Linked DNA regions of Oryzias latipes. The protein of the gene in region 2 interacts with the protein of the main gene of each other region in a pairwise test. Links are inferred from orthologs where the notes say so. Each region holds a gene or a part of one and is shown on either strand. Other genes may lie near its edges. The genes, in order: kctd4, efhc1 and tex11.

Evidence for each region.
Region 1: the proteins of efhc1 (region 2) and kctd4 interact in binary tests that used the Homo sapiens proteins (3 or more experiments, as listed by UniProt). The two-hybrid records come from large-scale screens. The link is inferred for Oryzias latipes from reciprocal best matches to the Homo sapiens genes EFHC1 and KCTD4.
Region 3: the proteins of efhc1 (region 2) and tex11 interact in binary tests that used the Homo sapiens proteins (3 or more experiments, as listed by UniProt). The two-hybrid records come from large-scale screens. The link is inferred for Oryzias latipes from reciprocal best matches to the Homo sapiens genes EFHC1 and TEX11.

What each region holds. Positions count from the first base shown.
Region 1 is NC_019879.2:17,068,272-17,079,142, reverse strand, and holds kctd4 (BTB/POZ domain-containing protein KCTD4), read left to right. Parts: upstream 1-4,985; 5' UTR 4,986-5,254; coding exon 5,255-6,031; 3' UTR 6,032-6,817; downstream 6,818-10,871.
Region 2 is NC_019882.2:6,989,074-6,999,944, reverse strand, and holds efhc1 (EF-hand domain-containing protein 1), read left to right. Parts: upstream 1-5,795; 5' UTR 5,796-5,961; coding exon 5,962-6,027; intron 6,028-6,376; exon of another isoform or gene 6,377-6,646; intron 6,647-6,968; coding exon 6,969-7,220; intron 7,221-7,302; coding exon 7,303-7,587; intron 7,588-7,696; coding exon 7,697-7,846; intron 7,847-8,120; coding exon 8,121-8,301; intron 8,302-8,414; coding exon 8,415-8,638; intron 8,639-8,727; coding exon 8,728-8,817; intron 8,818-8,928; coding exon 8,929-9,129; coding exon of another isoform or gene 9,130-9,136; intron 9,137-9,202; coding exon 9,203-9,359; intron 9,360-9,582; coding exon 9,583-9,623; 3' UTR 9,624-9,685; downstream 9,686-10,871. Other genes in the region: protein eva-1 homolog C, read left to right, coding at 1-47, 2,294-2,452, 3,635-4,014; translocating chain-associated membrane protein 2, read right to left, coding at 10,377-10,453, 10,574-10,731. UniProt on the Homo sapiens protein: Microtubule inner protein (MIP) part of the dynein-decorated doublet microtubules (DMTs) in cilia axoneme, which is required for motile cilia beating.
Region 3 is NC_019868.2:11,385,539-11,396,409, reverse strand, and holds the start of tex11 (testis-expressed protein 11), read left to right. Parts: upstream 1-6,159; 5' UTR 6,160-6,277; coding exon 6,278-6,320; intron 6,321-7,481; coding exon 7,482-7,594; intron 7,595-7,919; coding exon 7,920-8,004; intron 8,005-8,132; coding exon 8,133-8,212; intron 8,213-8,295; coding exon 8,296-8,376; intron 8,377-8,481; coding exon 8,482-8,601; intron 8,602-8,817; coding exon 8,818-8,898; intron 8,899-8,987; coding exon 8,988-9,073; intron 9,074-9,166; coding exon 9,167-9,224; intron 9,225-9,333; coding exon 9,334-9,429; intron 9,430-9,509; coding exon 9,510-9,591; intron 9,592-9,785; coding exon 9,786-9,864; intron 9,865-10,001; coding exon 10,002-10,153; intron 10,154-10,248; coding exon 10,249-10,334; intron 10,335-10,421; coding exon 10,422-10,559; intron 10,560-10,871. UniProt on the Homo sapiens protein: Regulator of crossing-over during meiosis. Involved in initiation and/or maintenance of chromosome synapsis and formation of crossovers.

The DNA.
Region 1 (10,871 bases), on a different chromosome or scaffold from region 2:
AATGACGGCATTTTTGCATCTCTGCGCATTAGGAGAAATAGGCCCATAGATAGTAAAGCATCCTCATTTTGTGGTCATTACAAGCCTTCTTAGGATATTTTCTCATTCGGCATAATGCAGGGAATTATTAACATTAGTTTATATTTTGCTACAGCAGTATGTCAATAGCGGGTCATAATGACAAGGAAGAATTCTGTATGGGGCTGAAGGAAGGCCAAGATTGGATCTCCAAATATAAATTTCCATTAAAGCTGACGTCGTTCGGGCCCAGAGGCTGCTTCATTAAGGAAATGTAATGATTCCATTCGTTATATTCCGACCTTTGCGACTCATCCACCCGCTCGTTTTGATCTAATGTGGATAAACTGCATCCAGATGCAACGGGAGGCGGCTTTCATGTCCTACCAGCAGGTGGGCAGTTTAATTTCTTACAGGCGGGGGGGCCTGTGAGAAATCTAGTCTTTTTATTCGTACATTTACAGTTAATAACAGAACATGTATTTTTATTGTAATTTTCAATAAAAACGTGCCTCATATCCTGGGGCGTCAGGTACTTTATTCCAGCACTAAATTCTTTAGGATCCATAGATAGGGTTTTTTAGATCTCAACATATTGGTTTCTGGTGGCTGGACAAACACCTCAGACTCTGCCATGTTTGTGATTTTTCCTAAGATGTTTTCCATTTTGCTGCTGTCCTGCAGGAGAAAGTTGCCACTTTATAGGAGAGATACTGCAGTGTCTGTGTGCCAGGATGCAAGAATTTCTCAGTGGTTTATTGCACAGCAACAGGACAGATGTTGTTTCTTGTTAGGGCAGCTTTAGTTCTGGAGGGAAAACCGCAGTCTGTCAGTTTCTGGCTCCAGTGGTCGACATGTTGAAACCTCCTGGGGTGAGGCATTGAATGCCACACTGTCCTTAAAATGTATTTTTTAAACAATATATGAAATGAACGATATCTAATATACATTACAGAGTGAATATTTTATTACTATAGTTTATTAAAATGTTTTAAATGCTAATAAAATGGTGACATTCTCTTTTTCTTTTGAGCATTAACTCTAGTTTCACAGATGCTAAACCTCCACACACTGACTCTCATGGTAAATGAAGGCACAGATTGACAGCTCTGAGCTCTTAGAAGACCCTATTTTAAGTTGTTGCCATGCCAGCTTCATAGCAGTCAGTGACTCCATGTAAAAGCGCAGCTCTAAGAGCAGCACCATGAATTATTCACTGCCTTTAACAGCGAGGGCGAGTCCTCCCTAACAGCATTTTCAGAAACGCTGAAATGCCCAAAATCTGTCACTTCGATAAAGAGATTCAACAGATTCTAACAGACTTTCAATGGTTTCCTTCAATGAGACGGTTTTAATGAACAGGAGGCAGAAAACAGGTCAAATCCTCCCACAATCCTCTCTGCTGCCTCTCGCCCTCGTTTGCAATTCCAATTGAGCGTCGGTAAGAACAATTCAGCTAATTACCTATGATTTTTTTCTATTTCTTTTTAAATCACAGCAGAACACAGAGATGTCCCTCTTGTATCTTCTCCATGACCAACACACACACAGACACACAGATACAAAGAAAGGCAGAGTGTGAGTCACCTGCATCAATGTACACAGCAGCTGCACATTGTATCTAAGTGCTTCATTTTAAATGACTGTGCAGTCACCGCCTTCGGGGTGAATCTGCAACAGTTGTGAGGGTAAGTGGCTGATCACCTGTTGCATCAGTCTAAACCACCTGTTACTCACTTTGGAGTTTAACATAAATTCTCATCGATTTATTTTCATGCACAATGCCACCTAAAACAAAAAAGCAGGAGTGTGTAGCCTCAACTTTCAGATGAGAAGAATCATCTTTCATTTAGTATCAAAACAAACAAAAAGTTAAAAAGTATATTCAACTTTCCTACTTTATGCCAATTAACAGCTTTGTGGCCAACCCTTATTGTTTAAAGTCCCACTTCAACTGTATTTTGGTCTATTGTCAAATAATGATTGTACCATTTTTAGCCACAAAAAAAAAAGACTTGTCGTTTTCTAGGACGTTTCTGCATAGTGGCAGGAGTTCATTAGAAATTCGCCTTTAAATTGTGTGTAGGACTTGGTCCAGAGTAAGCCTGCCCCCATTTCCCATCATCCCTTTGTTTACATTCTCTCCCACTAGCTTACAGCCCCTTACAACCCCAACCTGACATTAAAGCATTAAAATAAAACAAAAATGGCGAGTAATATTGGAGGTATCCAGCCGTAACGTTTGGAGCTACAATAAATGTCAGCTCTGGATGCATCAGAATGGAGCAGAGCAGGGAGCTTGTGGCCCGCCGACTGTAACTTCTAGGTCACTGCTACAAGCTTTTTCAAATTGTATTTTTTCCTTCTGCTCCTGATTCAAAACGATTTTAATAATACTCAGAAATGGGATTTCAAGCTTAATGTTCTTTATACATGTCCATCATCAGAAAAACGCCATAAGAACATGTTAAAAAAAACATTATTTTCATTGGAGCACGTCTTTAATTTATGGTATCCATTTTTGGCAATAATGCTGCTAAGATTATTTACTATTACTTTTAAAAAAAAGTCATTGTCATTATTTAAGAGACAAAATGTCTCATTCCAAATAGTTTTTGAACCTAATTAGCTGTGGATTTACAAAGGTCTTTCTATCTAGCTTCTATTTAAAAGCTGCATCTGCAAATGGATCAACAGCAGTCATTAGTTTTCTTCTTCATTCCTGCAGCAGCCGGATACTCCTGAGTGTTCAGCCTGCCCTCAGGCAAAGTACAGGAACCGAGGACATGAGCATCCTGACAAAGCGGACTCGCACAGCATCTGGTAGCCTGCACTGACAAATGCGGCAGGTATTCATTGTCTGATTTGTGCACAATTGATGATAAATTATGCAAACTGATAGGCGATGTGTCCCTTGAGTGAAACCCCAACTAAAGTAGGTTACAAAGCAACTGCACTGAAATACTTCTGCTTTTGGGGTCAAAACCAAATCAGACCAGCTGTATATGGAATTTCATGCACATTCTTCTTTATTTACCTTTCTAAGTGCAGCTAAACTAACATTTAACCACATGTTTCATAAGAAGAAGGTGCGGAGAAACAAGAGATTATTTTTTCTTTTGATCACTTAAAATTGTTTCTTAAAGCTGAGTTTAGCTTTCTTTCGGTTCAATGTCAAAATTAGTAGTGATTTGTCTCTTTGGTTAATGTGTTTAAGTTATGTTTGTTATTTGTAGATTCCCACCTTGTAGGTCCGATGAGCCAGTTTAAAACCCCCTTAGTGTATCCTGCTGGATGAGTCAGTTTTAGTTTGTTTGAGGAATTTGTTTGTGATTTCCTTAGTGACATTTGGTTAAGTTGACCCCATTTTATTTTGGGGCCATTCATAAGTTGGTAATAGTTATGTTGGAAAATAAAAAACTTTTTTTTAACATCTTTTCTCCTGTGGCTCACAATCTCTAAATGGTTTATCAAAGCTATTTTCGATCATTTTCCAAATGATAAAACCAAATAGAAAAAAGGAAATCTGGCCAACAAGACTCACGTGATAACAGGTAAAAACTGAGGGCGTAACAATTAATGAATCAATACATTCCTACGAACCAACCAGATCAATCTGTCTGAGCCAAGTTGTTAATTGACTTGACCTATACCATTATAAAACATTTTCAAAATGAAATAAATTGCTTATATCAATATTAGGAAATACCATTTGGATTGAGGTACAGTATATTTACTAGAGCGTAAAAACGACCAAGTGCTTCACACGTGATGGCAGCAGAAAATGATCAAGCCATCATTACAGTGCAATGTATGGAGACACTTTGACTTTAGCAGAGACTTGTACAATGTGGTAAAATGTTCTAACAACGTCCCCTTTGGATTATTTGGATCTGGAAAAATAACAGTGGGTTGAACTTAATGAAGCTAAAATGTTAAACAGAGATTCTTGTTAACTTGTTTGTTTGTACACAAATCTAATTTACTTTTTATTATCTTTGGCTAAAGATGTCCAGGATGAATTTTAAGTCAGTGATCAAATCGTTCAAAATGAACCAAAATCCACGATGAAATGTATCAGCAACCACAAATTATTATGTTAATCAAATCTTTGTTAAAGTGAATCATTCCACCCATAGTACAAACATTGACAGGAAGGTAGAAAGGTTAAAACACTACGTTACAGCTGATTGAGTCATCAGACCAGCACATACATGTAAATACACATAAATGCTGGGCCCTCATGTTTCCTCATGTTTAACATGAAGTGTGATGATTTCTTTGCACTAGGAGAGACAGCCGTGTGAAGCACACTCACAGCGTGAATGCTGTGTCCTTTCATTTTTTTTTGTGTGTGTGTAAATGGCCAGTCTTTTGCAGTTCCCAAACAGCGGGACACCTTTTCAAAACATTGCCAAAAGAAAGAAAATCTGCCCCTAATGGCCAAACTGTAATCGACTGCAGTTGATTCTTTTTTCCTCAACCTTAAATTATTGCAATCAATCAATGTGTCCACTCACCAGGGCAGAGACCACTGCTGGCTATCTTCAGAGAAACCCCAACAGGATATTTACATGAATTTAATCATTTAATTTGCATTAGCAGGGCTCCATCAGATTAACAACAAGCGAAAAAGACAAACCTCGCCTCAACAAACCATCACTCTTCTCAGACAGTCAGAAGTAATGATGGGAGGTAAATCAGACGTGTGTGTGCAAATAGAGTTTTGAATTCATGCTCACAAGTCTGACTATTTTCCTGTGCAAAGATTATAAAAGCCCAACCACCCCCTAACTTCCATCTGGTGAGAGGATGGTTTAGGTGCGGGTTTGACACCTTTTTTTTTTTGCCAAAGATAATTAAGGACTGAGAGAAAAAGAGTCCTCACTATTCTGTTGTTTGCTCACATACTCCCTTTTCCTCCTCCCTGAAATGTGACGCTGTCTGCACACCCACTCTTAAAGAGAGACACAGAGAGAGGGAGAGTGGAGAGGAGGGACACGGATCGGCACACAGAGCCAGCTTGCAGCTCCTACTTCACTGTAGCTGCTCTGCCAGACAACACTCAGCCATCCACATCACACTCTCTCAAACACATTTGCTCTCTCAGCCGACAACACCCTCTCAATTTCTCAGCTGCATCAAACGTCCAAACGACAAGGTGAAAACAAACCCCACGCACAGACACCAGCTCTGAGGAGGAGGCTGGACTGAAGCTGGAGGGGCTGACTGGAGAATGGAATGGAACCTCAGAAGGATGGAGAGTGAACTGAGGCACATCAATCCGGACCTGCTGCAGCCCAGCAAAAGCTTCAAGAAGCCCTCTTCCGGCACCATCACCCTCAATGTAGGGGGGTTTCTTTACACCGCCCATCGGACCACCCTTTCCAAGCACCTCGGGTCCTTTCTGGAGGAGGTGGCCAATGGTAAAAAGCCGGTTCAACACACAGATTCTATGGGCAATCCCTTCATTGACAGAGATGGTCCTGTTTTTCGCCACGTGCTCAACTACCTCCGGACCGGTGAGCTCCAGCTGCCTGATGACTTCCGTGAGGCAGGGCTGCTGCGCAGAGAGGCCGACTTCTACCGCCTGAGCCAGCTGGTGGAGGCCGTGGTCGAGTGGGAAAATCAACGAGCAGCCCAGCGAGAACCCGCGTTTTTGGAGGTGACAGACAGCCACGAGAGGTCGCAGGGCCTCAAGGTGTACTGCAGCGACGCCACCTTCATTGAGAAGGTTAAGGGACGGCTGGTGCAGATCTCCAAGAGCCGCTTGGACGGCTTCCCAGAAGAATTTGTGGTGTCATCAAATGTGATCCAGTTTCGCCACTTCATCAAGTCTGAGCCGGGCTCACGGCTCGTGCTGAAGGAGGACAGCACGTTCGTGTGCACTCTAGACTGTCTGAAACTAGAAACAGTGATGCTAGCACTTAAATCGGGGTTCAAGTTGGTCACCAGCCTCGACAGCAGTAAAGGCTCTGTGGTGGCAGCGGAGGCCCTGCACTTTGTCAAGTAAGATGAAGAGAAATGCAGGAATCAGAGAGAAGGCAGAAGGGAAAGTACTGCCATATTTCATATTCACTCCACTAATGTCAGGTATTGGTTTGAGTCTTGTAAAATGTGTATTATGTGAATTAGTAGATAAAATAAAAGGTGAGCTGGACTGTTTAGGACAGACTTTACTAATGAAGCTTTGGGCGGTTGTTTTTAGCAGAACCATGTTTTGGCATTTGCCGAATTTGCACTGCTCTGTATTATTGTATTGTAGAATCCAGAAAGATCCTGATAGCACAAAAGCCCCGGTGACATGGACGACAAGCCACAAACCAATCTTCACGCGGAAAATACTGCACTTCAAGTTCCATCAATACATGTGTGCTTTTGTCAGTGGCTGCAAAAACGGAAAAAACAGCCCCTTCATAAAAAGCCTGTGATGTGCACTGTTGTGCCATTCAGCTTTTACTACAGCCTGTGTGTGTGCGCGTGTGTGTGCCTCGCCGTACACGGTGTGTGTGAGTGTTTCTGTTTTATTAGCTTGAGTTTTTTAGTTCGATTTGAAAAGCAGAGCTCACTGAAGGCAGGCTTAGGCCAACACACAAACGTTTAATTAACTGTTAAAGTTTAGGAGCAAAGAGCTGTGATTATTGCAAGGGCTTAGAATCTTGCATGATGCATGTGCACAGAAATCCTTTTTAAAAAGTGTGTTTTGTAAGTGCCGTGAGCCTCTGTGAAGCCAGTACCACAAAAATGCCTATTTCTTTAAATGTGAATATTTTACAAATAAAATGGATTTAAACAAGCAGTTTGTAGTTTCTTTGAAATCCTGGGTTTATTATATAAAACAAGTATTAATTTGTTTGCATGCGGAGGTCATTTATTGCAAAACTAATTATTCAGGGAATGTAGAAAATTATAATCTGTAATTGTTTACTCCAATTATAATAATCTACCTCCTGTGAAATGGACATGAGCAATATTACAATACCTCACATGGTAAACTTTGTTTTCACAGAATATGAAGCCTAAAATACACTACACATGACAAACATGACTCATTTTCCATCTAAAATAGTTTGACTTTTAGTTAATGTTTTATCAGAAGTATAAAGTAAAGATTGAAGAGACCCTAAACTTGATGAAATTATGTTTGTGTTGTGTTATTAGAGCATCTGTTGATGTCATTCTGTCCTGAGGACAGCACTTTGATCTGCAAAAGCAGAAATGTCCTGCTTTCAAAAGGCTTTCTTCCTCTGCTGAAAGTTCCTAAAGCTCTCACACTGTAGCACTGATATATAGGGATGCAGAAATAGCATTAAAAATATATTTGCATAAATAAAATTAATATCTCTTTAAAAAATGTGCAATATTTTTAACTCTGCAAACACTTACTAAAAGTCATTAAACGAGAAATCACCATAAAAGATGACACTTCTAACAAAAATATGGATTTAAGTACTAAAATGTACTTATCAGTAAATCTTACACCTCTTATCCTAAATATGATCTTAGGATAATCAGAGAGAATGTTTTCACTGCAGTGTCTTTACAAAAGCATCAGAGTAGTGGCGTCATATGAACATGGTCATTGTTCCATTCTTTTGAAAGTGAGGATCCTGTAAGTGCTGTCAAGATGTTTGAAATGACCACATTTACATGTTCAAGCTAAAAGACGGGTTCAAACACTGTGTGGGCACAGTTACATCAGCTATAAACCAGATACTAATGTGTTCGGTGAGTGTGCTTTGGTTAAAAAAAAAGAAAAGAAACTGAACATCAATAAAAGCCTTTTAAATGCCAACTGAAAGTAGTGAGATTACATAGGAGAACTATTTCTATTTCCCCCTTTGCCAAGAAGCCACACACATTGCTACAATAATCACCAGAATGATCCTGGAAATCAAGACACTTTAATTTTTTTGTTCTATTGAATCCAAAACAGAACTGTTAGTATTTCATCCCTTCATGTAAAATAATAAAGAAGCAGCTTACAGGCTTTTACATTTTTAAACTGGGTATTTTTTTTAGATAAATTGTGTATTTTAGATAAATATAGGCTCCAAAAATGATAAATTAGCCAAGTTGAGAGAACTCTCACAGGAGTTCAACAAGAGTGTCACAATGAAGATTTTCCCAAATACCAACAATAAATAAATAAAAGCTTGTTTTTATCATTAGAAACTATGCTTTGAGATTGACTGCAGTCTTTTTCATTGTTTGTGTCCATCAGAAGACGGGCATTAATTGCTCTAAAATCTGGCTTCAGTGATAGACTAAATTGAGCTAAATAAATTGCATTTTGAACTGATTTACAATCTAAAAACTAAAATGATCAAAGATTTTTTTGTTTGTGTTCTATTTGAATGCAATACTTCCACACTTTAAGCCACTGTGAAATTTCCTTCGGTCCATTGCAGCTTGACCAGTCATACATAAAATAGAAAACAGGCTGCCACGTATTATAACTTCAGCCATTAAATGATTAAGCTCCGTAACTACTGCTAGACCCCCCCCCCCCCCCATCAGATCGTTTGTTATTTAACTTTTAAAAGAACAACAAATTATGGTTATAAATACCCCCATTATTCCTTTTCATTATCACTCATTATTAGAGTGCCTTTAAAACAAATTATAAAATAAAAGAAGCAACAGAACAGAAAGATCCACAAAGGTCAGGTTACATGAAGTCATCCTAATGTTTAAGTAAACTACATATTTGTAAAGCTAATGTAGTTCCCCGACTTAAGTCGAGATGTCAAATAAGATTTTTTAGGGGGGCATTCAGGTGGTTGGACCAAAGATGATAAATATGATCCACTTGAACAGTAGAATGCTATAATGTAAAGGTCTGACTATGAATAAGAAGCTCTTTTACTCATCGATGATGCCTGTGCCAAACGCAAAACAAGCCCAGCCTGGCTTGAACCCAAACAATGTGAAGCCGGCATGCGTCATGATTCATTTATGGAAGCTTGTGGGAGTGGAAATCTTTAAATTTAATTATCCTGGACATTGGACAGCATTAACCCCATCTTCTTACTGCAAAGGGAGATCCTTTTGTCATCAAAGTTCAGGCTTCTTTTTTGCTGCCTGAACGAACTTTTAATTGCAGAGCATTCGTCTGTAGGGAGCCGCTATCAGCTGGCTTGAAATGAACACCGTCACTCTTTTTACCGCTTACTGTGATTCCCCCGCCTGAGACCAAAAGCATCTGCTCTGGCAGACAATGTCGCAAAATCAACCAACCCTCCCTCAGGTTGAAAAAGCCAGCTTTCAAGCCTGACAGCAGGAGAACAAAATGCACTGTAAACATGAAAAAGGCTCCAAACAGTCCAGATAATGTGACCCTTCAGGATGGGGTTCCCTCTGTGGAGCGCAACGCAAGCTCTGGCATTTTGCTGTAACATTCAGCCCGCTCTTAAATGCAGATCAGTTCCATGCATTTTTTATGATGGTGGCAGGTTGACTGTATGTTTTAAGGGATCGGTCTGAAGTAAAAGTGATGAAAGTGTAATGGAGGCAGCATGAGACGCACAGCAGCGCAGATAAGATAAGCATTATCAGCTGGAGGAAAAACACAACCACCCTCTATCTCGATCCTTTCACCTGTTGCCAAGCGAGCTCAAGTCCTCCATGCTGTCAAAGGCGATGCTCCTTTCTGTGTTCAATACACCACAGTCATGGGAGACTGCTGAGATAAAAACATGACTTGCATGCCTCTGATTTCTCTGTCGCCTCACTAGAAACAGGAAACGATTAAGGTAAAACGGGTTAGAAAGATCAGGTCTTTTCCTCTGCAGCTAATTCAAGGCTGAATGATAAAAAGACTTGTGTCTTTGTGATGCTAAAACACTTCAACACTCTAACCTGTCTTCTATCAGGAATCTTGGGGTTATTTTAGACTGTAGTTTTAATTTTGATGGACAAGTTAGTGCAGTAGTCTAGCTGTCATCTCAGATTAATCAATACAACATAGCAATATCTCCCTCATGACACCCTGGAAAGAGTTGTTCATGCCTTCATCTTCTCTAGACTGGACTACTGTAATTCCCTTTATTCTGGGATGGACCAGTCCCTCCTCCGCCGTCTTCAGCTGGTCCAGAATTTAGCTGCCCGTTTAATAACGGGGACGAGACGGCGTGATCACATTACCCCAATACTATGATCTCTACACTGGTAGCCTGTTTCTTTTAGAATGGATTTTAACATTTTACTCATGACTTTTAAGTATTAATTTTGGTTTAGCACCTCTCTATCTTACTGAGCTCCTACAGAATCTTCACCCTCGTAGAGCTTTGCAATCTGTGGTTCCCAGGACTCAACTTGTGAACAAGGGTGACAGAACCTTTTCAGTGGCTGTCCCTCGACTCTGGAATCGTCTCCCTTTTTCTGTGAGGTCTGCCAGATCCCTATAAGATTTTAAATCTTTGTTAAAAACTCGACTTTTTGCATTGGCTTTTAACACCAGAGTGGATGACAATTAGGCCAGCTCTATTAGTGTTTCTATTAAGGTTGATTTTACTGTTGTTTTATTGTATTTCACTAATTTCTACTTGTAATTTTTTTATATACCTGTGCAGTAGTTTGGATCTCTGGTAGATGTTAAAGTGCTTTCCACATAAAGATTGACTGATTGATGATTGATGATTGATTCAACCACATTCAGCGAAATAGTGATTGATTTTACAAGTGCTTACGGCCATCTTATGGCAGTCTTTGTGCCTCCTTCTAGGAGCACCTCTGTCATGATGCCCAGGGGAGGGCTCACCATATAAGATAATCTTTGGTATGCCATGGTTATGTAGTCTTGAGAAATGCCCTGTGTCAGTAGGAGCATGGCTTCAATACGAGCCGTTACT
Region 2 (10,871 bases):
CAGTCCTCCTTACGGGAGCTCAGTCAAAAATCCTGACCCGGACTCAGGTAAACAAAGCACACATAAACAGAGTGTCAAGTGCAGCTTTACAATTCATGTTTGAGGTCTGAGCATTTATATGTTTATCAAAGTGTTTCATAATATCCCAGTGGGGGGAAAAAGAGAAAATGAAACCATGTGAGATTTTAGCGAGGAAGAAAACTCATAGTTTTTTTCAGGAGGGATGCTGGCTTACATCCAACACCATCATTACTCTGCTCAGCCACCGGATCCTCAAATGAATGGGAAGTTAGGAAAGGTGAAGGGCTGAGGCCGTGTTCTGTAGTGCCGACAGCCCTTATCGGATGAGTGGCTTCTCCTCCCTGCACAGACTTTAAACATTCCACCTACAGTTCGTCTGGGAAAAAAAAAGAAGTTCTCATCTCTCATGTGACTGTGGGAGCACTAAAAACAGAGGATTTCAAAGCTCATTTACAAAAGTTTCATTTATAATCATTTGTGGCATTTCCGGTCAGTCAGACTTGAGCTGAGCAGAGATTTAACTAGAGAAGATTCTGAGAATTGAACACAAGAAGTGACCGTCTGCCGCTGACCTGTAATCCAGTAACACCACCATATGTCTCGTCTTGAATTTGCAAAATTTTGTGACACTGAGCTGATGCAAACTCTTGTGGGCAGACTTTGTTTACATCAAACAAATGCAAACTGCTTGTGAGGTCACTTTATTTGCTGTGGGCGGAGTCTTAGTCTGCTTTAGGTTTGCACACACCTATATTCCTCTATGCATTCTCTGTGCATGCTTCATCTTGCTCAGGTCTGCTGGAGCCCTGAGCAGGTTGACGGTCTTGATTTTGCCACTTTGAATCTCCCAGATATCTGTTTATGTCTAAAACAAAGCATGTTTTATCATTAACATAAGCTTATTAAATCAAAAATATGAAATTATTCGGAAAATTATACAAAAAATTGAAGTGTACAGTAGTCCGGGGCTTTTTTGAGCATATTTATTACTTTACAGTTTATGATTTCCCTTTAAAACAGTTTTTCGTGGCAATCCTTGACCTCCATCTTTTTAGTACAACCCCAGCTTCTTTTTAGTTGATATTTTTTATAACAATACACAATAAATCCACAAAGAACCCAAAACTGTATGAAAAACTTTATTTTCAAATAGTACATTTTGTCATTTTTGTAAAATAAGAATGAAAAAAAAAATACTTTATGTTATACAATCAAGGTCAAATGTCTAAAGGCAAATAAAATTGTAAAAGAATAAAATAAAGACAGTCAAAACAATGTGAAAAATGCCTTAAATTAAAAATGAAAAACAGGCAAACTAAACAACATACAGTGTTTCAAGGATTTATTACAAGGGGTATTACAATTGTGTGTCCTGTATGTTTTAAGGCCAAAATTTCAAAGCGGAAACATTTATTTAAACGTACACGTTACATTTTGATTGATAATAGGGCGCCGGTGTCATTCCTGTGTGTTTTGTGATTACCAAACTCACAATGTTGCATTTTAAGGTTTCTGAATGACTTTGTCTGTTCTGCTGTAAATATAATATATATAAGGTAAATATAAGGTTCTCTTTATAACAAAGCTTTTATTCTATTCTGATTTTCTCTGTTTAGATTAAAATTAAAAAAATAATAATTTATTGTAATTCTTTTTAAGTTAAATTGTTTGTAAAACTTAGTAGCTGTTTCTTTACAGATGTACTGTATTAGGGCTATTTTTATGCATTAAAGAGATTAAGGATGAAAATCAGCTGATCGACTCCACACAGCAGCTTTCCCAGGTGGAAACGTTTACCTGCTCAGTGAGCAATTCTTGTCTAAACTACATTTATCAGATTAGAGGAGGCTGACACACCTTAGAGACTGTGTAATTAGAGGTCACTTGTGTGTGTGTGGTAGCTCACCAAAGCTTGCCTGCCTTCATTTACCAAAAATTAAAGGTATAGCAGCCAAAATCCTAGAAGATTTTTTTTCCCATGGGACTCTTTGTCCCTTAATGACCTGAGTCAGACAACGGATGATGAGTTGCTTTTTAGGTCATACATTTTTTTCAGTATTCAACAGAACTAAGATGACTCAGGTTTCTGACAGACATTATAGTGCAATCTTGTTTTCCTGTAAATTACCTCAATCGTTTTTTTGTTTTTGTTTTTTGTTTTCCACCTCACAGCCTCTTTCTGCCTTTTTAAACCTGAAGCTTTCCGGACAGACTGTAGTTTGTTTTGTGTCATTAAACCGCACTTTTCTGACCTTGCAACCATTCTTAACAGAGAAAAACAAATTTGAAGAGACAGAAAAGGGGAAGCCGCAAGAAAAAGAAGGAGAGGATCCAGAGCAGTCACCAGAAATGAACCCCATCGCCAACTCCACCTCTGGAGCCAACATGGCGCTCTTCAGCAACGCACTTGCAGCCTACAATTACATATCAGGTAGGACGTCTTGTAACATCAAAAATGCTTATTGCTTTAAATCCAGCGGTTCAAGGACAATGGAATACGTCCCAATGCCTGAAACATGTGCACACCAATTTTTTGGTATAGATAAAATCCCTCATTTCCCCTATTTTAATTTGCCAGGACTGAAAGGTGGCCAAATGTGGGCTAGAGGAATGTGGATTTAAAAGAGATAGCGGCTGAGTAGACCATAGAGCTCCAAGCAGCTGCTGGAAGAAATTATCTTTCACACATAAAATACTACCTTATGCACAGTTTTTGAACAATCTATAAGTTGAAGTGGTTATTTATATTTTACTTTTTTTTTTTTTTAAACTGTGTTGTTTTTTAGGACACAGTTTCTGCAGGGATTCATTTGAAATTCACCGTGACTGTTGGGGCAGATCAAGCCCACCCTCCATTCCCATCACCCATAACTGAGCAATTTGTTGACACACTCTCCCGGTGGCTTACAGCCCCTCACGCCCCCAGCCTAACATTTGCGGGGCAACAAAAATATTGAAACAATATAGGAGCAATCCAGCCGAACAGTTTTGAGCCAGAGACCAACTTGGACAAGGAGAACGTTGTCAGAACGGAGTGGCCTGCCCACCATATTGTCTACACAATCTTTTTTAAACTGCATTTTTTTTTTCATCTGCTCCACAATTTGAAAAAAGAAGTACTCTGAAATACAAGTTTGCAAGTTTTTGTTGAAAACTTTTGGCAAGTTTTGATCAAGTTTGTTATTATTGAAGGGTTTGAATGAAAGAATTGACTGAGCCGGTTTTCCAGCATGGTTGACTGAGATTGCGAATATAGAAGATGCTGCCGCTGAGTTAAATGTAAACAGCCAGTAAGAGCCAAACCACTGGGATAATGTTGGAATCTTGCTCAAGGCAAGCAAGGCTGCTGGAGCGGAGAGAATCTGGAAGAGTGGATGTAAAGGGGAAAAATGTGCACTTATAGGAAATTAAGCAATCAATACAAAATGAAGGCTATGCTGCAGAAATACCAAACCAGCAAAGCGAGCCAAATAATTAAATATAGATGGTCAAATAGGTTTAAAAAAAATTGAAGATGCAACATCTTTCTTTCTTTTTTGTCTTTCATGAAAAAATCTAATAAATAAAACTTTTCCCTCCATCATTTGTGTCCTTCCACTCTCCCCTGCACTAGACCACCCAGAGAGGGCTGCCTTGTTCTTCGTCTGTGGCGTGTGTTTGGGCCTCTTCCTCACTCTCTTCGCCCTGGTGGTCCAGATCTCCTGTCGCACCGACTGCCAGCCGCGTGAGCGGCCTCCTGCCAAGAAACGTGCGCGTCCCGCCGACTTATCCTCAGATTCCAGTGATTCGGACTCAGACTGGGACACCACCTCGGACCTCTCGGCAAGGAGACACAGACGCTTTGAGCGCACGCTAAACATGAACGTGTTCACGTCAGCCGAAGAGCTGGAGAGAGCTCAGCGGCTGGAGGAAAGAGAGCGAATCATCCGGGAAATCTGGATGAACGGCCAACCGGACATCCCGGGGACACGGAGCCTCAATCGGTATTACTGAGTAATACCTGGAGACTTTTAATGGGAACCTGACTTTAACTGAAATGTTGTACAGAAGGGGAAAGAGACAAACCCAGACTGAGATTCAAAAGCAACAGTTTGACAGTTTTTAGTTGGAAAAATGTTCCCCTCTCTCTGCTGTTTTCAAAGTCCATTTGGGTATCATAAGCTATACCCCCAAAAGTCAAACAATAAGCTTCAACTCTGCATTGTAAGCTTGCCTCTTGGCTCCCGGAAGAAAGAAGTGAAAGACTACACTGACTTACCGGTGACCTCGGCGGGCTTTTGAACTGAGGATTTATGGGTTAATGAACATACACAAGCCTGCAGAGACTACACGGTGACTGAAGGACCAAGGCCTCACAAAGGTCTGTTTTACAGCACACAGGGCAGCTGGAAGAGACTGTGACACTCTGAGCTTCACGCTCACTACCCTCCAGTATTGAAATGTGAACTTTAACAGAGGGGCATTTTTTTTTACCAAAGTGCGCTCGACAATAAGACAGTGTAAGACAATCTTTTCACAGTAGATGTTGCCTTGAGCTCTATAAAAACCAAAAGATGAACACCTTATGCAATATATTTTATTATATTTAATGTTTCATTGATGTTGTGTATTTTTCTTCTCAAGTAAGGTTTTATTATGAGATATTTTTATACTTTGCAAAGGTTGTCTGGCGCCTCAGGGATGCAATCCTAGTGTTTCTGTGTTTGGCTCTTCCTTAGAAAAAGGGGGAGTTGACTGAAATCACATTGTCAGCATTTATAGACAAGAATAGGAGATATAATGTAAAGCACCTCAAAGAGGTTCCCTTTTTATAGTTTAATCCTATTTTTGATAAAGTAATTCAAAGCGGAGAGGCTTTTCTACCCTTTAAGTCGAGTTTATGATTACAACAGTCTTTTTTGATCAACTATAGGACATTTATTTATTAATTGGAATCTCAAATGTATGTAATCTATTTGTGTTCCCTTTAAAGTACTGTCTCTATGCTGATGTGGAGCTTGTGTCAAAACCAGAATGCTTCTGTCGAGTTTAGCACCTGCTATCTACTCTGGCATAAATGTAAATTAATAGAGAACTGCCTGTTTTTACTATAAAAATGCATTTTCAGGTCATCACTTTTCAAGCAATGTCTAAAAGTGGCCTTTATTTAATATGCAGGACGTTGCTTGTGTTTGTCACTGCCATCTGAAGGAAACAACACTACAAAAACGGTAAAACGGCACCAAAATCATGCTATTTGCTGGAGAGATGTGTACATTCTTTTCCAATTTCAAGCAGATATTTTAACACATTAATATTATTTTCCTTATAGAGATTATTCAAATAACCACCTCACCAGAGATGTCTAAAAGGTTTAGTTTGAATATAATGTGTCAGTGATTTTTACCACATGACCAAAATGGATTATGCGCTTGAAATAAACTTCAAAAGGAAAATGTGTTCCAGTGAAAGAAATGAAAAGAGAGTTTGTGTCTTTAATTTCCAAGGTGTAAATGTGAAAAAACAAAAACTGTCTGGACTTTTTAGCTTCGCTCGCCCCCTGGTGGTGCTATTAGGAACTTGACGTTAGTAGTTTAACAAATTAAATAATTTTTTTTTTTTACCGTATTTCCAGATAAAAAATAAACATTTATGAATATGTAATTTACATATTACACAAAAGAAAGATATACAATCTGTAAAGATGAGATGTATTAATTGCTTTCCAAAAGATGCTTGCAAAGTTACGTTTTTTTTGTCAAACTTTATTTAAAACAAACTGCTGCTACGTCACAAGTGCTAACACTAGACGTCGTTACCATAGATACCGTCAAAGCTTCAGTCGCGCGTCCTTCCCTGTAGTTTAACGCCCCAACAAACTGTTTATTTGCGTCGTTAAAAACGACGATTGTGAACTTTTTCTTTCCTGACTAGAGAGTTACGAAGAAATCCCGACCAGAAATGTCTTCTCCGTGGAATAACTATGGTTTGCCATTCCTGCCCGGATATTCATTCCCGGATTACACAGTAAGAGCCGTCATGGTGGATTTAAAAAGGATATAAATTTCCAAAAAAAAAAATTCTCATTTAAAATAGTTTTTTTTTTTTCTTGAAAAGTATCAATAGATCACTAAAAATGTGATTTGCAGATTTGCTTATGTTGGGAAAGAAGTATCTCTATTTTACTAACCGTCATGTTTTCAATTGTTTTTTTTTTATCCTTCTCAATAAATTATTGGGTTACTTGAATTAATTACTTGAATCAAATTAAACTTAACAAGGAAAAGTATATGTATTTATAAGAAAGGATATGAGGCAAGAATGTCAAGGGTTCAGTACTGTTCAGATTCCATCCTTCAGCATTTCTAAGACCCTTCCTCAAAGTGACAAGGTCAAGCAGCAGACATTGAGGAAAAACAAGAGACTGGCAGAGGGCAAAAACAACTCCCCAAAGACCTGGATGGCCGACTACTTATTCAAATGTCACTCAGCAACAGCAGGGAGGCATCAAGAGAGCTATAAAAATAATGGAAATGGTTGCTGGAGCGAGGAGAATTACTCAAAGGCGGCTATTAGGAGCAGTGTTTGAAGCAGATTGGAAAACTGGTGGAGAAGCCGAGATGCATTAAAGCTTGGATTATCAAAGGTTAAATTCATCCAATGTTTTTGTGAACATTTGTTTAATTATTTTTGTTGTGTTTTTAAAGTTAAATAAGCCTATTTCTTTCTAATTAAGGTATGAAAACTCTGCACATTCTAGTTATTTCTGCCAATTGTTATTTTATGTACACAAATGTTTAAATAGAGGAAAAAAGAAGCTTTTCAATTTAACAGAAATAATGTCAGCAGTTTATAAAACAAAACAATATTTTGTAAGTATAAAAAAATCCCTAGAAACCTAATATTTTCAATAGTTTTCTGTTTTTATTTTTATTCAGAGCTTGCATTTATTTCTCTTCAACTTGTTGTTTCATGATTTGCGGTCGCAGAAATCCGCCTTTCATCGACCCCAGACTCTGGACTACAAGAATGGCTATCCTCTGGCTCAGCGCCTCTCCATGGGGATCGGCCAGGAACTTCATTTGTCCGAACAGCTCAGCACAACAGCCCAGCATCTCAGTGATCTTTCCTTTGGGATGCCAGGAGAAGATCCGTATGGCGCTTCTGACCGGAAAGTCTATGAGCCTTTTAAGCCAGTTTATGTGGCTCTGGACAAGAAGGTGTGAACTCAAATTGATAAAAGCATTAATTATTTCCAAATAATTCCCCACATGGTCTATCACCGGCCTGCTTTTTTTTAAGGTGCTGTGCTTCAAGGCATTCTTTAAAGAGGAATTCTTGAATTCCTCTGAAGAATACCGTGTGTGTCCAGTGGTCATCTATTATCACCTGGAGGACGACACTATGACCATTGTGGAGCCCAAAGAGGAAAACTCCGGGTTCGAACACGGAAAGAGGCTCAAACGGCAGAAAATACCAAAGAATGACCACGGAGAGTATTACCTGTGGAAAGACCTCAACATTGGTATGGATCTGAAGGTGTATGGCTTCACATACCACATCACACAGTGTGATGACTTTACAAAGGTACACTACTCTTCTGATTAAGACTTCTTCTCCTTTTGTGTGTCCAGCCATTTTCATTTGTAGATTTCTGTTTCTTTTCCTGCTTGCTTTTCTTCTCTCATTCACACAGGAGTTTATGGAAAGTGAAGGGATCATTTTGAACGAACCAGAGCCAACACCGGAAGATCCTTATATCAAAAAACGCAAAGGCTCACCACAGCCTCACACTCAGCCTTCCACAACTGACAAGCTGCACCAGTTTCTCACCATGGATGGAAAGGTAGAGAATATCCATATTATCTGCTCAGATGTTGCATTGCAATAACAATGACACTTAGAATAACTATAAATAACTTAAAAATGTACTTTTACCCAGTAAGAAAGGAGAAACACTGTTCCATATAATTAGTATTTTTGTTTTCATATTCTTACATTTTCTAGTAGAAAAAAACAGATTTTTAAAAATGTATACTCTCCACATACACTCTCAGTTTAAAGTTAGAAATAAAAACTATTAACCACCAGTCCTGTTCTCGTCTTGTTGTCTATTTTAGGTGCTCAGTTTCTCTGCTCTGGGGGAGGATGTGAACCGTCAGTACACTTTGCCGGTTACCATCCACTATTTCCTCGTTGACGATACTGTGGAGATCAGAGAGGTGGTCTACAAAGGCAGAAGACAGAACCATTTCCCTGTTGTGATGCGCAGAGTGAAAATACCCAAAAAAATGAAATCAGGTAAAGACGTTTTTCCACCATTATATTTCAATCGCCTCACAGAAATGCTCAAACTGATTATAAATGGAACCCGTCACTTGGACAGGACTTCTGTAGTTGTGTTCTTGTTGCAGAAACGTTCCCCACCTGTGTGATGGAGATCTCTCACCTAGATGTAGATGAGTACTACTCCCCCAAAGACTTTCAGCTAGGCCAAACGGTTACACTACTCGCCCGTTCCTTCTTGCTGTGCGACTGTGACGACTTCACCAAAAAGTATTACAAGGAGAACCACCCAGACATGGAAATGAAACCCTTGGAGGTGCCAGAAAAGGTGGACACACCTCAAAAAGAGAAGGTAAGGTTTCAAATATGTACCAACTGCATTAATTATGTACATTTTTATAGGATTTACGATTTTACTATTACTTTATTCACAAACTCCAGTTAAAAATGGCTGCTCCACAGAAGAATCCTCCCAAAGTGGAAAAGAACCTCGAGAATCTCAACAAAGTATTACGCTACAAAGCCAAGCTGGTAAGAAAAATATACGAATTTGTTACTGTTAACTACTAAATTGTTGTTACAATACATCTAATGTACCATTTCTGTTGAAGTCAAATATTCATTACGTTGTTTATTTTTTAGGTGTCTCCATATCCAGAAGACAAAGATCGTTCTTTCATCTTAATGTACTCTCTCTTCAATCAAACAATCAGCATCTTTGAAAAGGGCACGTCCAGTTTTGACTCTGGGTTCTTACTGAGGAACAGACATGTTCCCAAGCCAGGTTCAAGCCAGGAAAACCCAGACTTATACTCACCTGCAGACTTTGCTATTGGAGCCACGGTAGAGGGTATTCATCTCCTTATGGAACATATTCAGTGTCGTATCATTTCATCCAATGTCAAAGTAAAAGTAGTCATTTCTTTTCTTTTTGTCTGTAGTTTTTAGTCACCGCTTCATCCTGACAGATGCTGACCTCTATGTGCTCAAATACCTGGAGTCCATCTCAGACCAGGTCCCATCTCAAACACTGGATTCTCTGCGACAGAAGTTAAGCACTCAATCTAATAATGGTCAGCCCCAGCATTTTAACTGTCAGTAACAGCTTTTTATGGAAGCATTTCTGTCTCATAAAAGCCAATACCATTTCATTTTTGAAAAAGAATTTCTGGTATTGACTTTTATTTTTAATTATGAGAAAGAATTGCTTCCATAGATTTTGACCAGCAGTCAATTTATTTCAGTTTATTTGTAAAAGGAGATTTTTCACTCTCTTTTTCATTCCTCTTCCTTCAGGTGAAGAAGTAAAATCATCTCATGTTTCTCAAGTTTTCTGATCCAAAGACCAGATGTGCTAGGAATTTTGCAAAATGTCTCTAATAAACGAATTGCATCTAAACACTGATATATCTATTCCTTATATTTAGAAATAACTTTTTCCAGAAATTGCATTACTGACCAAAGAACAAGAGCAAAGAAAAAGACCTCAGCTGGTTCAAATACAATTTGAAATCATGTTTGAACAATTGCATTATTTAATAAAGTAATTAATAAACAAATCGGAACAAAAACAAAAATCAGAAATGGAATGGCATGCAGTGTTATCCAACATACTTAATGGAAAGTGATAAGTGACACATGTACAGTTTTACCAGATAGTTCATATCATACCAAAAATTAAAAAATTAAAATAAAAAAATCAGTAACACTTTTCTGCTCCTGTGGACTAAAAAACAGAACACAAAGGCTCAACAGTCCGAGCTGCAACGCTACAGTACTTCAGTTTGAGGATGAACACGCTTATTTAACTATTTTATCACTGCATACAACTGTCTGCTTTATGATGGGATTGCAAGCTGCAAGTATGTTTTACAAATACAAAATACTGATACAATGAGAAGGATAAATGTCTGTTGGGATCAAAGGATTTTCCTTGGATTTCATTTTCCAACATCTGCGACATAGTCCTTGGAACATCGCAGGACATTTTCAGCCAGAAGCTCGACGACCAGCAGCCATCAGCTTCCCTCGGGTGCTGATCGAGAACCTTAGCCACCACTAAGGCAGCTTTTCACGCCAGTCAGAGGATCTTAAAGAGATTTGAGTTTCTTTGTCCGGGGAGAGACTCCATTCTCCGCTTTAAGAACTCCGTTTTCATGGTTACCAACTAACCAAGAGACAAAAAGGAAAAGTCAAAATGCATTTTTAACAAAGCAAGAAGCAGAGTGAGGAAAACAAATGACCAAATAATGTCAGCTCCTTGCTAAATATGGGTGTCCGAACTTACGCGAGTCTCTCTTTAGGGGCCGCAGGGGTTGTTTTGTGGCAGCCTTCTTGCGAACAGCCTGCTCGTGTCGGAGTTCCCTCCAACGCCTTAGCTGGAAGCGGATAAACTTCCACAGCAGCCAGGATTGAGTCAAACACACCAGCAGCAGGACAATCATTCTGAGGGGGGACACCATAAGTGTCACAGTGAGAATTGGAAAGTAGGCCTGACATCATGCCCCAAACGAATGAAATTGCTTTCGATGTCTGGTGTTAGAAGAACAGTCTAACCTGTTAAACTGTTTATGCTACTCTGACTG
Region 3 (10,871 bases), on a different chromosome or scaffold from region 2:
CATTGATAAATCATGTAATAAAATGGTTACAGTAGAACTGGGGTGGGATTATATAAATTTGCTTCCTTCCACTCCCTTTCGAGCAATATTTAATATTATGTCTAATTATCCTAAGTTTGATACGTCATTGTATGAATGTATAACTGATGATTGTATTGTTTTTGTGTATTATTTTTATTTGATTGCTTGAAATAAACCATTTCAAATCAAATTAAAATCAAAAAGATATTTGCAAAAAACTAAAAATATGTACAAATTTGGTTTCGGAAGTGTAAATTTTTCCTGTTTTTGAAAAGAGTTGATGTTTTAGTCTCAAATTCAAATGTAACTTTATTTAACCCTTGTGTTATCCTATGGGGTCAAGATGACCATTGAAGTGTTCTCCCTACCAGGACAAAGGCGGATAAAGGTGAAGAGTATTTCATGTAATCCATAGAAACCAGTGAAGATCACAAATCATTGAAGAAAAAGGGGTTCAGAGCACTGTCAAGCGGGTCTAGATGACCCAACTCCCAATGTTAAAGTGCCTAGGATAGCACAAGGGTTTATATAGCACTTTGGTGCTGAAGATAACCTACAAGTGCTTTACATAATTAAATAAATGGTTTAAAAAATAGTAGTTAAAAATAGCAATCATAATCTTAAAAACAACAACAAAAGATACCCCTATACATACACATCCAACAAAGAACAATCATGCCTAGGATAGCACAAGGGTTACAGGGAGTTTTTTCTTTTAATCAGTCAAGTTCAGTTGGGTTGAATTAAAAAATTAGGCTCATATCTACAAACAAAAGGAAGACACATAAACTGATTTTTGTGACTGAAGATATATATGTCTTCAGTACATGTACACCCAAAGCATTGTTGCTGACTCAAATACCTCAATCATTACAAAATAACGGGATTAATGATTCACGAAACTGTGTGTTTGGATGTAAATCTGATCAATAAACACCTTTGACTGTTTTCTTAAGTTTCCTGTTTGATCATCCACTGTGTGACTTAGATTAAAGGTGACAGCAGTTATCTGTCATATCAAATTCAATCCATCCGTTCAAAATAAACATCAGCTGGATTTATTTTTGACTTCAACAACAGGATGAGCTGCTTTTTATATCAGGGTAAATAATCTGCTTTTGTCCAGCAGGACCCCGTGGAGCATGGATGTGCTTCAGACGTGTTCTTTTATTATTGCAACAATTAGTGCACTGCTGCAGAGCATCCTGCCCTGGTGGTGACAGGAGGAGGACAGCGTAAATCTGATGTGTAAGGATATTGGGAATAAGACACATCTTGGGAAACAACTTGTAATTTCTCCCCAGTGGGAGTCTTTTCTCTTGAGAAGCTAAACGATCATGATTTAAGGATCCAGAGATTTTCAATAAACTTAAAGGACTTTGGCAGATTACAGAACAAATTGATAAAAGTTTGCTTGAAAAATGTAATTTCTCATATTTGGAGGGCTTGAGAGTGCACCAAAGTTTCTGAAATCTGCATGGTTGGTTATGAAAGAAAAAAAGATGTATCACACATTTAGTAGTTTTAGATTTAACAATACTGTTGAGGTTCAGTGACTCAAGTCTTCCCTCTCACTTATAGTTTCTGGAGTTAACAACTGTAACTTAATGCATTATCATAAACTGTAAAGATAAAAACACACACACACACACAAAAAAAACCAATGGCACAATGAACTGAGTTTGGTCAGAAAAGGTGATCATGCTCACTCCAAAAGTTTTAGCATGTGTTTATAATTAGGGCTTGAGCAAAGGAGACATTCCCATCAGGTCGTGAGGGCAGCAGATAAGTCTCCTGATGGACAATTGCTGGAAGCTGCTTGCTGAGCGGGTGGATCTGAAGTGATTTATTTTAAAGGCTGATGGTCAAAACACACTTTGGAGCACTAACTGGTCCTACATACACAGCAAGCATTCTTCCTTTTGGCCTGAATGAACCCAAACTTCTTATTTTAAAAAAGGGCATTGAGTTAAATGAGTGTCACAGTTTTCTTTTTAAATCAAAACCTTGTAGTAAATCAAAATAATAAAACTGAAATAATGCCATAATTGTAGTACAGCCCCAAATTGTAATCTAAAGAAATTCTTACCTGATAAATAAAAAATTGCGATTTTCAAGATGGGTGTGAAAGGATGTAAATTATAAAAACTGGGGTTGTAGGAAAAATCGATCTGTCAATATGTTGCGACATTTCATTTGATGATACTTTTATTGATTTAAAATCATGCCAAGATAATATTTATTTAATTTTTTATGAGCATCATTCAACGTCTAACTTTTTTCTCCACTCAAACCCCCGACCTCTAGTTGGCAGCATAGCACACTGATCCTCTCAGAGTAGCTCTACACCGCACCGAAACAACAAGATCTCGCGAGAATCAGCTTGTGTTAACCCTTGTGCTATCCTCTGACCCCACCCTTACATTGACGTGTTCTCCTTAACATGACAAAGGTGGATAAAGGTGGAGAGGATTTCATGTAATCCATGGACACCAGTGAAGATCACAAATCGTTGAAGAAAAAAGGTTCAGTGCACTGTCCAGTGGGTCTAGATGACCCAACTCCCAATGTTAAAGTGCCTAGGATAGCTCAAGGGTTACATGTTAAATGTTCAGTCAGCCTTGCAGTCTCTGTTGTTATGAGACATGTACTACTTAATTTTTGCTTGGGATGGGTTCCGAACCGGAACTAACATGTGCCATGTTGCTGCCGGTATCATGTAAAAACATGGTTTGTGGTGATTTGTGGTGGGCTCTAGATGAAAACGAGTGACACTTGATATGTATCGCGATACATATCGTATTGTGAGACACGTATCGTGATATGCATCGTATCGCCATACTCTTCCCAATACACACCCCTACTAAAAAGCATGCATGCAAAAATATTAACATTAGTAAGTATTTCACATTTGCATGAAACACATTCTAAATATAAGATGTATAATATTAGAGGGTCTAAAAAAATGGTTGAACACTATATGCCTTTTATATTGATCACCATTAAAAACCATGAATATTCTTTTAAACTTCTGATAATTTTATGAAACCCTGTCACAATGGTGTAAAAATATTGATGGTTGTGTTTTGAGTCCTGACATGACAATATATGCCTTAAATTTAATTTACTTTTTATTTATTTATCCCACAATGGGGAAATTGAATTGGAAATAAAGTCCCACTCCGAACATCTTTTGATCTATTGTAAAAGCGTTCCCAGGGGTCTTTCAAGTATGATTATGCTGTTTTTAGCCAAAACAAAAAAACTGTTGTTTTCAAAAACATAGTTTCAGTAAAACGGCAGCTCATCAGAAATTTGCCTCTGATTTGTGGGCGGGACTGTTGGCACAGAGCAAGGCCCCCACTTCCTATCGCCCATCTGTTTACGTACCCTCCCGCTAGCATATAGCTCACACCCCCAACCTAACATTACCAGTGCAACAAAAATGGCACGGAATATTGGAGCTATCCAGCCGTACAGTTTTGATTCAGATACCAGCTCACACGCGGAAAAAAAAGACATTAATTTAAATTTTATTTATTCAGCATATTAACCACAGGGCACGCCCATTTATGTTCAAAGTTAGCATATTTATATAGTAAAACATACAATAAAACACATTCAAGTTCTTGTTACTTAAGAAGACAAAAAATGTATATTAGACACAAGAAAAGTCCACCAACATCACATATTTCATTGTATTTAAATTAAGGGATCTTTTTGTCTGCAAATAGATGCATCAGAATGGAGTGGAGCAGGGAGCTTGTTGCCCTCTGATTGTAACTAAGTGACAACTATGAGCTTTTTACAATTACACTTTTTTCGTTTGCTCCTGATTCACAATGATTAAAACAAAGAAATACTCAGAAATGCAGTTTTAAGTTTATTTTCTTTATGTATGTCTTACATCTTGAAAGAAATGCCACAAGAACATGTTAAAAACACCAAAAACAGGTATTTCATCAAAGTGAGTCTTTAAGGTTCTGCTTTTTTGTTTCCTTGTGGATTATTTCATGCTTTATGTTCAATGCTATGTTCTGTTTTTAACTAATTTCACAAAAATCCAGTTTTGTGTTTTAAAAACCCATGTCGGTTCACTTTTTCAGCTTCTATTTCATCACAAAGACGTCCTCCAGTTCTGCCAGGGGAACCCCAAGGTGCTCCCAGGCCAGCCGAGAGACACAGTCTTCAACTCGGTGGGACACGCTCTGAATACCTAGAGAGGCGCCCAGGAGGCAAATGAGTTAACTGAGCCATCTCAACTAGTTTCTCTCAGTGTGGAAGGGAAGTGACTCTACCCCAAGCTCCACACAAGTGACCAAACTCCTCACTTTATCTCCAAAGGAACATCAAGTAAGAAAACTATTTTTAGCTGCTAGTTTTCGAGACGTTTTGCCTTTCGGTCCTGACCTCTGTGTCACATCAGTTTTCAATAACATTCCTTTTCAGTTTTAGTTAATTGAACCTCAGTGTGTTTAAGACCATATTTCTATTTTCTTCCTGCAAGACTTTTTTGTCCTTTTTAAGGCATTAAAAGGTGGATCAGCCAGTGTGCTTCAGATTAAAGTCAAACAGATGGAGAACATTTCTCTTCAGGATTTGTTGGTAGACACTGGAAGCTGTGGTTCCACAGCAAGTCTTCCTGGTTCACCACTGTAACATGTTTGTTTTCTCACGTGCTGTGTTACTTTTACACCAAATGTTGTAGACAAATGTATTTTTTAGAAAAGATTGACTTTAATCTAATCAGTCCTTAGATTATTTACTCAAAGATAGCAGGGTCTTTTGACATCTCTTGAATAAGTTACTGCACTCTTGTGGTAATTTGTTCAACAGGCCACTCTGGAGATGGATCACAACTGTTCTTGTGTTTTCCTTGTTTGAGGAGATTTGCTCTCAATAAAGTGTCAAAGCTTCAGAAATGGCTTAATCATCAATGTTTTTGAGCAAGTGGTCCCAAAGACTGTTTTAATTTTTTCCTGAGTATCTCTGGATTGCAACACAACGGCAAACGTTTGAACCTTCAGTTCATGCTGGTCTTAAACATTATTTTCTTGATTATTTTTTTTGTGTATGGGTGTGTTTGTGTATGAGTTTTTGTCTTTGAGTGGAAAGAAAAAACTATCAAAATAAAAGCCCTTCCATGTTATTTCTTACATTGTATTTATTTTGTTATTTATTTACATTAAACGCTAATTTAAGAATACTTATATATAAAAAATTAATCATCTAGCCAGAATATAAGAAAGCAAATATTACCTACACTATGATGGCTACTTTTTTCTACCTTGTATATCTTACCTGATATTTGCTTTCTTGTAACATAGATTTTATTTATCAATTGAACTAGCACATAACATCAAAAAAGAAAAATAGTAATAATAACATATCCTTTTTTAAACCCTTTTAACATATAGCCTAGTAGTCAATAGGCCTAAATCAGGAGTCTGAATCTGAGGCTCCAAATCCAAATGTGGCTCTTTGTCCCTACATTATGGCTTTTTGGCTTTGAAAAAATTCTAATAATTTGCGTAAATAATGGTTTTGTCGTAGTCAGGATTATTTTGAGTTAATTACGTTTTGTCATTTATTTTTAGATTTTTAAAATGTCAGGTAACTGAGCATCATGACAGTAAAAGGTTTAATCTATTGTGTGTGGTTAAAGAGAAGAAACGCCTAGGAAGTGCATGGAGGAACATTTGTAGAAGTTTATATTTACATTATATAGATTTGTTTTGCCTGGTTTAATATTTGAGAGTAAAAGGAAAAAAAATGAAGGCCCACCAAAATCATAATAATAGAAAATGTTATATTGGATTTATCTTTCTATCTTTTTAAATTTAAGTAAATCTCCTGTAGCAAAGGATCCTATTTGACACAGGGTGTGTTTTATTTTGAAAGGATCTTGTCAAAAGTAAATAAAGTTACAATTAATAAATGCAGAAAAACATAACACTGTTATAGTTAAATTACTGTAAATATTTGAAAACTACATAAATAAATTCTATTTTCTAATTGATAAAGTGAGCTTTTGCGGCTCTAAATGGATTTTGGTCCGCATTTACAGTCAATGGTCACAGAAACTTGCCCAAAAGGCTCTTTTAATGTTAAAGTTTGTCCGCAGACAGGAAGTAGCATTAACTGACCTCACATAGTACGAACTCCGTGGCGTCAACGTCCGCCTCGTTTTCGCGGGCATTTTCGGGCGATTGTAAATTCTCCTTTGGTGAGACATCTCCTCCAGACAATCCCGCTTATGGAAGCTTTCGAAATGGAAGAATTTATTTCGACTGTGAAATGTGAGTATAAGTCGGTTCAACTACATTACACGGCTAATTACAGATACAAACCATAAATAATTGTAACTGCGTCATCAGCAGGGGTAGGGGGTAATCAATGAGTTATATCGCGATATAACTGGGGCTAACCTAGCTAAACCATCTGCTAGGCCATGTACTATTTTGTCAAGCTAGTTTAATGAAATGAATTAAGCACATAAATCCTACCTTAGCTTTAGCCTTTGTCCGAGTGAAAAAAATGTTTGCTTTATTTTTTAAACAAATTAATTATATTTTTTCTTTCTTTAAAACTACCTTAAAAAAACATGCAGACTGCCATAAATAATATTATATAAATGTTGGGTTTATTCAGAGAAAAATCTATACAGAAATCATGAGAGCAATTTTAAAGTTAACGAAGAGAATCTTGAAGCTGTTTTTATGACAGACAGACATGCTTGGTTTTATTTTTGTTGTGGAACAATGGCTGGCAAGACTTTTAGGGTATAAATAAAGTTTATTATTTTGAATTGGTTAACAAAATTATCATTTTACTCTTTAAAACGGGAGCATTATGCCTCAGGGGGCTGGAGGGTCTGTTTCTGTTACCCACACATTTATGCATATATATGTGTGTGTATATAATATATATATATATATATATATATATATATTATTTTTTTTTGCTCAATCCTGGATAAATACGATAAAGAACATTTGGCAGAAATCAATATTTTGGAAATTGTTAAGAAAAAAGGGCAAGTAATTTTTTTCACTGTCCAGCTTGATTTGAAAAAAACAAAAATAGAACAAACTAAAAACAAATGTCTCTAGTTATTAAAAAAAGTGTGATTTGAGGCTTTGCAGCAACAAAAATAACTTAGAAGTGTACATAACAGTTACCATTATGCTTTGACTGTGAACTTCACTCACAGAATTCTTTTTAACACCCACTTTTAAAAGTGTGGAGGGTGTAATTTGCATCAGCTTCATATACAACAACTTGCCGCCTCACAGATCTTAAAAGCATAAGAGAACAAGCATATGCCAGAACCCTTTTCTGCTATGGCAAACTAGAAGTTACTGTCAAGGGGAGCAGTTATTGGATGTGTCACATATATTTATTGAACATCTTTTACTCTTAGTGTGTCTATTCATTTCAAACGTTCTGCTTTTTCACAGGTCTCACAGAAAACTTACAGCAGAAAGATCTAACAGATTGCGATGAGGTTATAGAGAAGCTTTTCTCTGAAGTCTCAGGCTTAGATTCCTTTCTCAAAATACCAGATCCTCAGGTAATTTATCAATCGTTTTAGATTGTACTATTTTTAATATAGTCTATAGTCCTGGACAGATATGTACAGAAGAGGATTAGGGCCATGGAGAAAGAAAAAAAAAAAGGGCATAGAAAATTCTGACTTTAATCTCAGAATTCTGACTTTATATGTTCATGTGGAGCTAAACATTTTTTCCCCCTATCCCAACATATCTTGAACCTGCAACTTCGAAATTATTTTATAGCTTAACTACTTTTTAGTAGTTTTAGTAGTAAAACTGAATGCTTAAGTCTAATAATATAAGTTATTGGCATGTTTTTAGTGTCTTGTTTTACTGGTACAGATTCAGGAGTGTGCCGTCCAGTTGTGGAACTGGGCTGTTACCAAGAATGTGGGAAACGCCATAACTGCAATCCAAAAAGCTAAAGGTATTCTTCCAATTGCAGTCTGTATAGTTTTTAAATGTTTACCTTTCTTGATTTTCTAAAACACAAACCTAATTATGGGGATTACAGGCAAGGTTAATGCCTCATTTAATATTTTTTATCATCATCAGTTCGCCATGTTGCATGCAACCTGCTGTACTGCTTTGAGTCTGACAGTCCAACAGAGGGCGCCTTTCGAAAACAAATCTTGGTAAGTAATTCTGGAGGTTTTCCTTTTTATAGCCTGGCATTTCAGGAGGATAAGGCCTGTGTGTTGATATCTTATCCTTCCAGATGGCCAGCAAAGCAGGGAGAGCCTGGCTGAACTGCAAAAACTTTCAGATGGCAGATCACTTTCTGAGACTTGCCGTCAAGGTGAGAAAGAAACGTTGGATAAAATCTGGAAATGTTTTTAGCTGAAAGGAGAAGGATGGAATTATTTTATTCTTTTACAAATGATCCAACATGGTATATTCCTAGAGCTTGGAAACCCTTTACCGCCAGCTAACGTCCAGAGCCAATGACGAACCTGACATCTTGTCATCCAAGGCAGATGTGGAGAAGGACCTTCTTCGGATCCTGTCGTGCCAGGCTGAGTCGGTGAGCAGTGCTGCATGTGATGTTCAACACCTTAAATGTGAATATTTGTTCTTGTGATATTTTGCAGCTTGGGAGGTGCTGTTCTGACAGACTTGCAGTGTGAAGTGTAAGACAGTAAAATTGTGACTGAGAAACAATGAAGGGGGGGTTCTGAAATAGCTAATTGAGAGAAGTTCATTTCCCTTCATTTAATACACAATCTGATCTTTGTTACAGGCTATCGCTCAAGGGAACAACCAAGAAGCCATAGTGTTCATCGAGCGATGCAAAGACATACTGCTGCGGCTGCCAAATGAAGTAAAACACAGCTACCTTACTGTTCTCTTACATTCAAAGCACATGTTGTTGAAAGTGAGGGGGGTGTTAAGTGTGAGCTTTCATCACAGACGGCGTACCTCTCAGTTGTCTGTTACAACTTTGGAATCGAGGCATACAATCTGACAAAGTTTGAAGACAGTGCATTTTGGCTGAGGTAGTAGATTTATTAATGTGGTTTGATAAAAAGTAATAAAATAAAAAAATCCAGGGTAAAAATGCATCTCTTCCTCCTTGTTTGTTTTTGTAGCCAAAGCTATGACATTGGAAAAGCAAACATGAAATATGGTCCAGGATCAGAAGCTCTGGTAAGACCCCGTAAGACAGAATGAATAGAGTTAGCAGCAGGAATGCTAATCTTTGAGAACAAGTCATTAAAAAGAAAAAGAAAATATTTACAATGTCACTCATAAACAGGCCAAAGTTTTGCGGCTGCTCGCCACGTGTTATTTAGAGTGGGACTGTGAGAAGTTTCAGGAAAAGGCTCTAAATACTGTCAGCTTAGCAAACAAGGTGGGACGTGAGGCAATATTACGTCAAATATTTATTGTAAAAGGATGAAGAGTGATTATTCCTATGGTGGTGTTTGGCAGGAGTGTGTGACCCCGTTTGGACTTTACTTAAAGATCAGAATTCTCCTCAGATGCAGAGCCCCAGACAGCCCTGTCAGAGCAGGTCAGTCATAATCTGACTGCCGTCAGTGATGTGCTACAAAAATAAACACAAATAGAAATAGAATAGAAAGAAATAATGAGTCTGATATTGGTGGTCACAAAGCTTGTACCACTTAGATTGGATGCTTCCTAGTGTGTCATTTGAATCTTTGAGTGACAGACAGATAAGGTTGCATCACAAACCTGTGTTTTCAGGTCTTAATGAGATGCTGGAATCTAAAGTTTCTCTTGACATGTGTCTGAACACAGTGAGACTGCTCATGTCTGAAAACAGGTGAGGAAGTTAAAAACAAAACAGAAAACTGATTGCAGATTTAACTTTATTTGCTTGTTTGAAATAATAATGCATCCTAAACGGATGAGGACATTTATTCTGCACCTCTGAAAATGCATCTTTTGTGATTATTCTAGAGAAGTGCTGGCATTTGAGTATTTGAAAACTGTGTGTCAGCACTTCGAGTCATCTCCTAGTCTGGGAACTGCTCTTGTCTTGCACATTGAGCTGCTGCTGCAAAGAGGCAAGGTGCTGCTGAGCAGACAGAAGATAGAGGATGTCATTACCGGTACTTCACTTCTACCCTTAACGTTTCTTACAGCTTTTTTTAGAGTAGTAATCCATGAAATGTTTGTTTTTTTGATGATTTTCCTTTCTGATCAGGACACTATACCGGTAAACAGCTGGCACCAGAGGCACTCACAAGTCTGCACATCATACTGTGGGATCAGGCATCCAAACACTACGAGGTTCATCAGTAGCCTGGTTTTCCCTCTATCATTTTGACTGTTACTGACTTTAGAAGTCAATTTATTTAATCTTTTTGATTTTTACAGGATGACAATTATTCTGAAGCTCTCCAGTGGTATGACTACTCTCTTAGCTTCTTTAAGGCGGGTCAGATGGACCAGAACTTATCCAAACTGCAGAGGAACAGAGCATCTTGCTTTCTAAAACTGAAGCAGTTGGAAAAGGTGAGACTGTCTGGACAGAAGGAAAAATCTGTGATCAAACCTCTCTCCCGAAGACTCCAGTAGGTGTTGCTTGTCCAAATTCAAATGAACCTTTTCCCTCCATAGCTATTAGTGCAGGTGGCACCGTGGTGCAGTGGTTAGCGCTTTCGCCTCACAGCAATTAGGCCCTGGTTCAAATTCCAACTAGGACCTTTCTGTGTGGAGCTTGCATGCTTTCCCCATGCATGTATGGATTTTCTCCAGACCCTCCAGCTTCCTCCCTCAGGTTAATTGTGCATCACAACTGTGTGGCCCTGCAACAGAACAACAGGA